2 linked regions of the Cricetulus griseus genome follow. The protein of the gene in region 2 interacts with the protein of the main gene of each other region in a biochemical or structural test. Links are inferred from orthologs where the notes say so. Each region holds a gene or a part of one and is shown on either strand. Other genes may lie near its edges. The genes, in order: Mcmbp and Mcm4.

Region 1 (3,822 bases), on a different chromosome or scaffold from region 2:
GGATGACCTTGAATTTCTGATCCATTTCCTGGGTGTTGGGGATTGAACCCGGTGCTTCATGTGTGATAGGAAAACATTCTATTATCTCAGCTATATTTTCTACCCTCAAATTAAGTTTTCTGCCTTTCTTGTTGTTTGTCTGGCACACAAACTCTGAGTTTGTGGCAGTGTCATGCCAAGATTACTGACTTGTCAATTTATGCTACTATACCCTGAGGATGGAACCTTACAAAGTAATGTTTGGACTTCTTAAGGAAGCATTGATAAAGTCACTCTACTAACATGCCATCACATTGTCTCATTCTAGAAGACACAGCAAAGCCTGAAGCCCTTGTAAGATCAAGGGAATCTGTCTCTAAGTGAGTCCCCACGACTGAGTCACTGTCAGAAGCCCCTGCAGCTCCTAGCTAGAGCTGGGTTTCTATCCCATCAGCTCACTAAACTGGAGCACTCATTCAACTAGGACAACTCTTCAGAATTGTACTAATACTTGTAAGACAGCTGTATTAATTAGAGCTAGCCATCAACTCCTGGGAGATCTGAGTAAATAAAAAGTAAAAAGCTCCTCATGATGGAGCTCATAGGGGATGTCCTTCTGTATGCTGTGAATATGTTTCTCTTATTGGTTGACGAATAAAGCTGTTTCAGCCAATGGACAGGCAGGATTTAGCTAGTCAGGAAATCCAAACAGAGATAGAGAAAGGTAGGAGGTGGAGTCAGGGAGATACTATGTAGCCACCTAGGAAGCAAAAGACCCAGGTCGGCAAGCCAAGACTATGTGGAGATACATAGATTAAAAGAAATGGATTAATAATTAAGAGAATACTGCCCAGTAAGAAGCCTGAGCCATTTGCCAAACAGTTTATAATTAATGTAAGATTCTGTGTGTTTATTTGGGACTAAAACTGCTGTGGGGTCGGGTGGGCAGAAACTTCTGTCCATGTTGAGTGAAGGTTCTGGGTCCATAAAGCAGAGAGCTAGACCCAGAAAAGGTAAACACAGAGGCCTCACCTTCCTACTGACCTGCCTGCTTTAATCCCACCTTGAATTCTTATTTTCTTCCCAACAACTGACAATTAAGCTCTGTGTTTCAACAGAAAACACATGAAAAACACAGGAGACACTATAAGCTATCTGGTTTCTTTAGCTATGCTAACAGTCTCTTTCACTGTTAAAATAAAAATAAACTTTCACAGCCCCAGCCAAGACACCACATGCTGAACAGGTGTCAAAATGAACTTCAATTGACTTTTTGTAACTACATGACACCCAATACTCTGTGCATTCCCTGTTACTAATGTGGAAGAGTACTTTCATTACGTCTTTCTAGCAATGCAAAGTTTGTTGTAAAACCTACATGTAGAGTAAAGCGTGGTAGTAACACACCTGCAGACCCATCACCTGGCTAGTGGAAGCAGAGGGATATGAGCTGCAGGCCAGGCCAGTCAGGCTACACACAAAATGGTATGTTTTTAAGTTGGGGGTATTGCTCAACTTAGTAAAGGTCATGCTTCACTTTCATAAGGTCTATGCTTCTTTAATCTCTGACAACACCCCCCCCCAAAAAAAAACAACCTTCCCCTAAAAAATCAGGGTGAGATTTAATCGTATTTAATTGAGGCAGTGACAAGCTAGTTTAGTGGGCAAAGGCACTTTCTGTCTAGCCTAATTACCTGAGTTTGAGCCCTCAGACCCATACGTGAATGTCCTTTGATCTTCATGGTCTGTGCCCTCTGCCCCACAAAACAACAAAAAACCCACAAATATTTAATTACATCTAATTGAGAAGTATTAAGTCTAAGTTAATCTTTCACTTTTGTCTAAAGAAACAATCATACACTGTGCTTTTAGTCACAAATACTGAGGAAGAATCTTGGTATTTACAATATTGCTAGAAATCTTTAAAAGACAAATAAGAAAATAATGTCAGAAAAACCCTTTTAAAGACAAATAAAAAATATTCTGCCTGATTTTTAAGAACTCATTCACACAAGACAAGTATGTTGAGGACCAACCAAAGAAAAATGAATTCTCTTTTTAGATGGAAATAAATCATGTAAAAATGTTTTTGAACAGCCGGGCGTAGGTGTTTGAAGGCCTTTAATCCCAGCACTCAGGTGGCAGAAGCAGGCAGATCTCTGTGAGTTTGAGGCCAGCCTGGTCTACAAGAGCTAGTTCCAGGACAGCCTCCAAAGCCACAGAGAAACCCTGTCTCGAAAAACACACGAAAAACCAAAACAACAAAAAAATACCATAAAATGTACATACCCCACATTCTGCTACATCTCTGTATTTTCCAAAATGAAGAACCTATTACCAAAACAAGAGACAAGGATTATATAAGTATAATTAATATTATAGGTTATAACAGCTCAAAAAGAAAGCAATACATACTCGTGCTTTTGTGGTCTGGTTAACTGTTTCATAAACTCCCATGTAAAACTCAGGGTCAAACATATCCTGAATCATGCAACGAAACTTGACAAAGCTGTTAGGTTTCAAATAATGAAGGGGAACTTCATTCAATGATGGTACCTTCAAAGAAAACAAGCAAGTCAGCAAAGTTGTTGTCTGTAAATGTTAAGTGCAAACACATTCAAAATCTAGTCCTATCTGGAAGCCGACTTCTTCCAAGTTCCTGTGCCTTCTAAAGCACACACAGCTTTTATTCCAGCCCGCCTGTTTTCTCTATGTTCTGTTTGTTTTCTCTCTTTTTAAGACACAGTCTCACTTTGTAGCTCAGAATGGTCTGGAATTCACTAATAGTCAAGGCTGGCCCCAACACGATCCTCCTGGGTCAGCCTCCTAAGGCCCCAGACTGTAGGTATCACCTCCTACAAAGGATTCCTGAACCCTTTCAATAAACAGAAAGGCATGCACTTTGATGAGTCCTCTGAACATTAACCCATGCCAATTCTTTTTTTTTAATTTATTTTTTATTTAAATTAGTAATAAGCTTGCTTCACATGTCAATCCCAGCTCCCTCTCCCTCCCCTCACCCCTCCACCCCACCAACCCCAAACCCCCACCCCATCCCCACATGCCAATTCTTTTAGGAGGGAACAAAACATAGGTGATAACTACTCTTAGAAACCAGTTTACCAGGCAGGAAAAGTCATTTACTGCCACCTAGAGGTACAACTCTGAAGCATCAGACCAAAGCCTTTTAATGCATATGTACAGTAGTAGTTTGTACTCATTCTCTACTTCTAATCCTATGGGGTTTCTATTCCACTGACAAACTATAGCCAGTAACTCTCCCTCTCTCCCTGCAAACAGCAGTAAGCTTACCCATTTAGGAGCATTGTTTTCCTTCAGCTTTTCCTTGAAGTATTCAATAACTTTTTTCTCCCAGTCAGGATTAACTCCATTTTGGGCTGAAAGAGAAATATGGTCATTGAAGCATAACATGGACCAACAGATTATGTTTAAGTCAGTAACATGTAAGCATAATAGTTAATACAAGAGCAACTGCGACATTTCACAGGCATTCCAGGAGCTTCCCTGCTGGGTGCTGGGCACCACAAACCCAGGCTGCTGGCCCATAGCTCTCCAGCATTAACAACTGAGTCAACACCTGTGGAATAGTATGAGGCTCACTTAGACCAGCCCAAGCTACAGGAGGTAAAACACTCAGCTTGAAATACTTTTATGTATAGTAATACACCCTGAAATGGAAAGCTGTGAATTTTTTTTTAAAAAATCATGCTTATTTAGTGTGCATATGGGCATGCACACATGCAAGTAGGCCAGAGAGCAACTTGCACGAGTTGACTCCTGAGGATTTAACTAAGGTAATTTGGCAATAATTTGAAGTTTTTA
Region 2 (3,822 bases):
ATGCCTGCTGGGCAGACACCTCACACTGTTGTTCTTTTTGCCCACAATGATCTTGTAGACAAAGTTCAGCCAGGGGATAGAGTGAATGTCACAGGTAAGAATCTAGGTTTGTAACAAGAAGGCAGTTGGTGCTATGGTTTACTATTGTTTGGACGTTAAGTTCTCAGGTGCAGATTTCAGAACTCTCAGAACTTTGCATGTGTCTCAGATAGATAATGTTGATGCCTTGAGAGCAGCCTCAGGGTGTGGTGTTGATTGGATTCAGTTTGCCAGTAGCTTGGGGACAGACAAACATGGGATTCACAAATGCTTTTCTACTTATTTCCTACATGGACAGCTAACATTACTCATGGAGTAGAGCAGGGCAGTCCATATGGGAAAGCTATTGCTGACTTGTTAGTTGTTGCAGTTCATTGCTGCATTGATTCAGGTTTGTAGATTCTGAATGCTGCTTCTTGCAAAAGGTGCCTTATCTTCAATGTCATGTGGGGGTGGCAGACTTTCTACAGTTTGGAGGAATGTGAGCACTTTGTCAAGAACAGCACTGTTCTTCATTGGGAATTGAAACCAAGTCTCCCTAGCTCTGAGTCTGGGGCTCACTGTCCCAGCTATTCAGTGAGTCAGGATTTCAGGATTTCTTTCCCAGCATACAAGAGACATGCAGTTTTCACACACACACACACACACACACACACACACACACACACACACACACACACACACACACACACACACACGCTCACTTGCCTTAATAGGTTTGCATTTTTTTTTTTTTAATGTTATTGTAAATGCTGGTTTTGTTGTCTTGTTTTTTAATCTTGTATCAGAGGACAGCTTGTGGGAACCAGTTCTCTTTTCTTTCACATGTGACCTGAAGATTGAACTCAGGTCATCAGGCTTGTGGCAAGTGCCTTTACCTGCTGAGTACCTCACTAGCTCTGTAAGCTGGTTTTCTTTTATGTTTTAAATGAGAATTGCATTGTCCTGTTAAAGGACCATGGTCTGTACTGTGAGGATGAGAGGGAGATCAGATTTAGTCTTCAGAGATAGAGGCCTGGATTAGTGGTGCTTGCCAGCAACTCTGATGGCCTGAGTTCCTTCCCTGGGTGTCACAGGATGGAAGAGGAAAGAACCAACTCCCAAAAGCCAACCTCCACATGCTGTCCTGACACTCAAGCACATGCAGACAGGCATCTCACATACCAATAATGAATTAAAACTTTTTATTTATTTTTTTAAGCAGACAGAAACAAAATTAGTGTGAAGTTCACACTAGTTTGAACAATAAAGGATTTCCCTAGCTTTGTAGACCAGGCTGGCCTCTAACTCAGAGATCCACCTGCCTCTGCCTCCTGAGTGCTGGGATTAAAAGTATGTGCCACCACTATCCAGAGTTTCTTGACTTTCCTTTTGTTTTTGTTTTGGTTTGTTTGTTTTGTTGTTGTTGTTTTGTTTTTTTGAGACATGGATGGGGTTTCTCTGTGTAGCTTTGGAGCCTATCCTGGCACTCACTCTGTAGACCAGGCTGGCCTCAAACTCAAAGAGATCCTCCTGCCTCTGCCTCCCTAGTGCTGGGATTAAAGGCGTGAGCCACCACTGCCCGGCTCTTGACTTCCTTAATGTAGTCCTTAGCTGGGAGACTAACAGGTAATGATGCTTAGGTGAGATGGGGCCCCTAGGTGCTATACATTGCCTGTGCTGACCACTGAGTCTGCGGAGGGAGAAATAGAAAGGTAAAGTTATGTCGCCTGTATATGTTCTTAGGCATATATCGAGCAGTACCTATTCGAGTCAATCCAAGAGTGAGCAATGTGAAGTCTGTCTATAAAACCCACATTGATGTCATCCATTATCGGAAAACCGATGCAAAACGCCTACATGGCCTTGATGAAGAAGCAGAACAGAAACTTTTTTCAGAGAACCGTGTAAAATTGCTTAAGGAACTTTCCAGGAAACCAGACATTTATGAGCGACTTGCTTCAGCCTTGGCTCCCAGCATTTACGAACATGAAGATATAAAGAAGGTAACAATGGTGTTTTTAATCTGGTGTTAAACAATTCTAAAAGTCCATTTGCTCAAAATAAGAACTGTTTGCTCTATAACAGAGCAAGTACTGACCCCTGCCTCAGTTGTTAGTTGAGTGTTATTGTTTTGTTGTGGTGACTCATCTCTTCACATTCATGTCCCTAAACCTAAGAGATTGTGTGGGTTCAGAACAGAGGAATGCTGGTCAACTCCTAGAGTGATGTCTACTTAGGTTTAAATCGGTTAGGAATAATTTAGAGTGACCAAAGCACTCTCCAATGATTTTGATCATGCCTTCAGCTTACAAAATAGAAAAGTACCTCTAAAACATAAGCTAAATCTATTCTACAAAATGACTGTTTGGATGTGTTTATACATTTTTTTAGGGAATCTTGCTTCAGCTCTTTGGTGGAACAAGGAAGGATTTCAGTCACACAGGAAGGGGCAAATTCCGTGCTGAGATCAACATCCTTCTGTGTGGTGACCCTGGTACCAGCAAGTCCCAGCTGCTTCAGTATGTATACAACCTGGTCCCCAGGGGCCAATACACATCTGGAAAAGGCTCCAGTGCAGTTGGCCTCACAGCCTACGTGATGAAAGACCCTGAGACCAGGCAGCTAGTCCTACAGACAGGTGCCCTTGTCTTGAGCGACAATGGCATATGTTGCATTGATGAGTTTGACAAAATGAATGAAAGTACAAGATCTGTACTGCATGAAGTCATGGAACAACAGACTCTGTCCATTGCAAAGGTGAGTGGTGATTGTGTACTGTGACTAGACTCTGAGATGATATCTGCTCTTGAGAATGTGATCAGTATTTCTCAACACTTCTAGATGGAAACCTCTTAATAAGCTTTTATTCACTCATATGTAGTGCTTATAAGCTCAAGTTTGTGTTAAAGTTACTACCAGTGTTAAACCGTTTGCTTTCTGATATGAAAGATGTGTGGCTACAGGGTTTTGGAGAGATGGCCCAGGGTTAAGAGCAGTGGCTGCCTGACCAGAAAACCTGGATTTGGTTCCTCCCAGCACCCACATGTAGCTCACAACAGTAAAGTTTCAAGGGATCTAGTGCCCTTTTCCGGCCTCCAAGGTTACCAAGCATCTGTGTGCACTAAAATCAGAGGTTCTTGGAAATCAGAAACAGCAGAGCAAATGAGGATTAGCCAGAGGCCAGATGAAGATGGTTTTCTTCCTTGTGGGAGTCTTGAAAAGGCTTCTAACTTCACTGCTTCCTCTGATAGGCTGGAATCATCTGTCAGCTTAATGCCCGCACATCTGTCCTGGCAGCAGCAAATCCTATTGAGTCTCAGTGGAATCCTAAGAAAACAACCATTGAAAATATCCAACTACCACATACATTGTTGTCAAGGTACTAAAACATTTCTGTATGATGACTACTGCTCTTGGCTTACTCATAATTGTCAGCGGGACATTGCAAAGAAAATAGGGTCAGTAACTGCTAACACTCTCTCCATTGACATTAAACAATGATTCAGACTTGGTTGGTCAGGGCTCTTGGCAAAGATTATGTGTTTAATTATTTTACTAAATTTGTTTTGTTTCTGGTAGTGCTAGGGATTTAATGAAAGGCCTCTCATGTGTTAGGGACGTGCTCTATCACTGAAGTACACTCCTTGTGAAACAGTTATTCTCAGAACAGTTGAATGTACTGGTACCCAAATATAGTTAGTCTTCTGAATTATAGTAACATTTCTCAGAAAATTCTTAACTTCTTTGACTTTCTCTTACCAGGCAGGACTGAGGATTGGTCAGTTGGTGACGAGGCAGCCC

What was found.
Region 1: the proteins of Mcm4 (region 2) and Mcmbp form a complex in vitro, tested with the Homo sapiens proteins (2 studies listed by BioGRID). The link is inferred for Cricetulus griseus from reciprocal best matches to the Homo sapiens genes MCM4 and MCMBP.

Annotation. Positions count from the first base shown.
Region 1 is NC_048596.1:72,026,273-72,030,094, reverse strand, and holds part of Mcmbp (mini-chromosome maintenance complex-binding protein), read right to left. Parts: intron 3,378-3,822; coding exon 3,292-3,377; intron 2,536-3,291; coding exon 2,395-2,535; intron 2,311-2,394; coding exon 2,269-2,310; intron 1-2,268. UniProt on the Homo sapiens protein: Associated component of the MCM complex that acts as a regulator of DNA replication.
Region 2 is NC_048597.1:73,866,041-73,869,862, forward strand, and holds part of Mcm4 (DNA replication licensing factor MCM4), read left to right. Parts: coding exon 1-94; intron 95-1,764; coding exon 1,765-2,024; intron 2,025-2,412; coding exon 2,413-2,778; intron 2,779-3,272; coding exon 3,273-3,400; intron 3,401-3,822. UniProt on the Homo sapiens protein: Acts as a component of the MCM2-7 complex (MCM complex) which is the replicative helicase essential for 'once per cell cycle' DNA replication initiation and elongation in eukaryotic cells.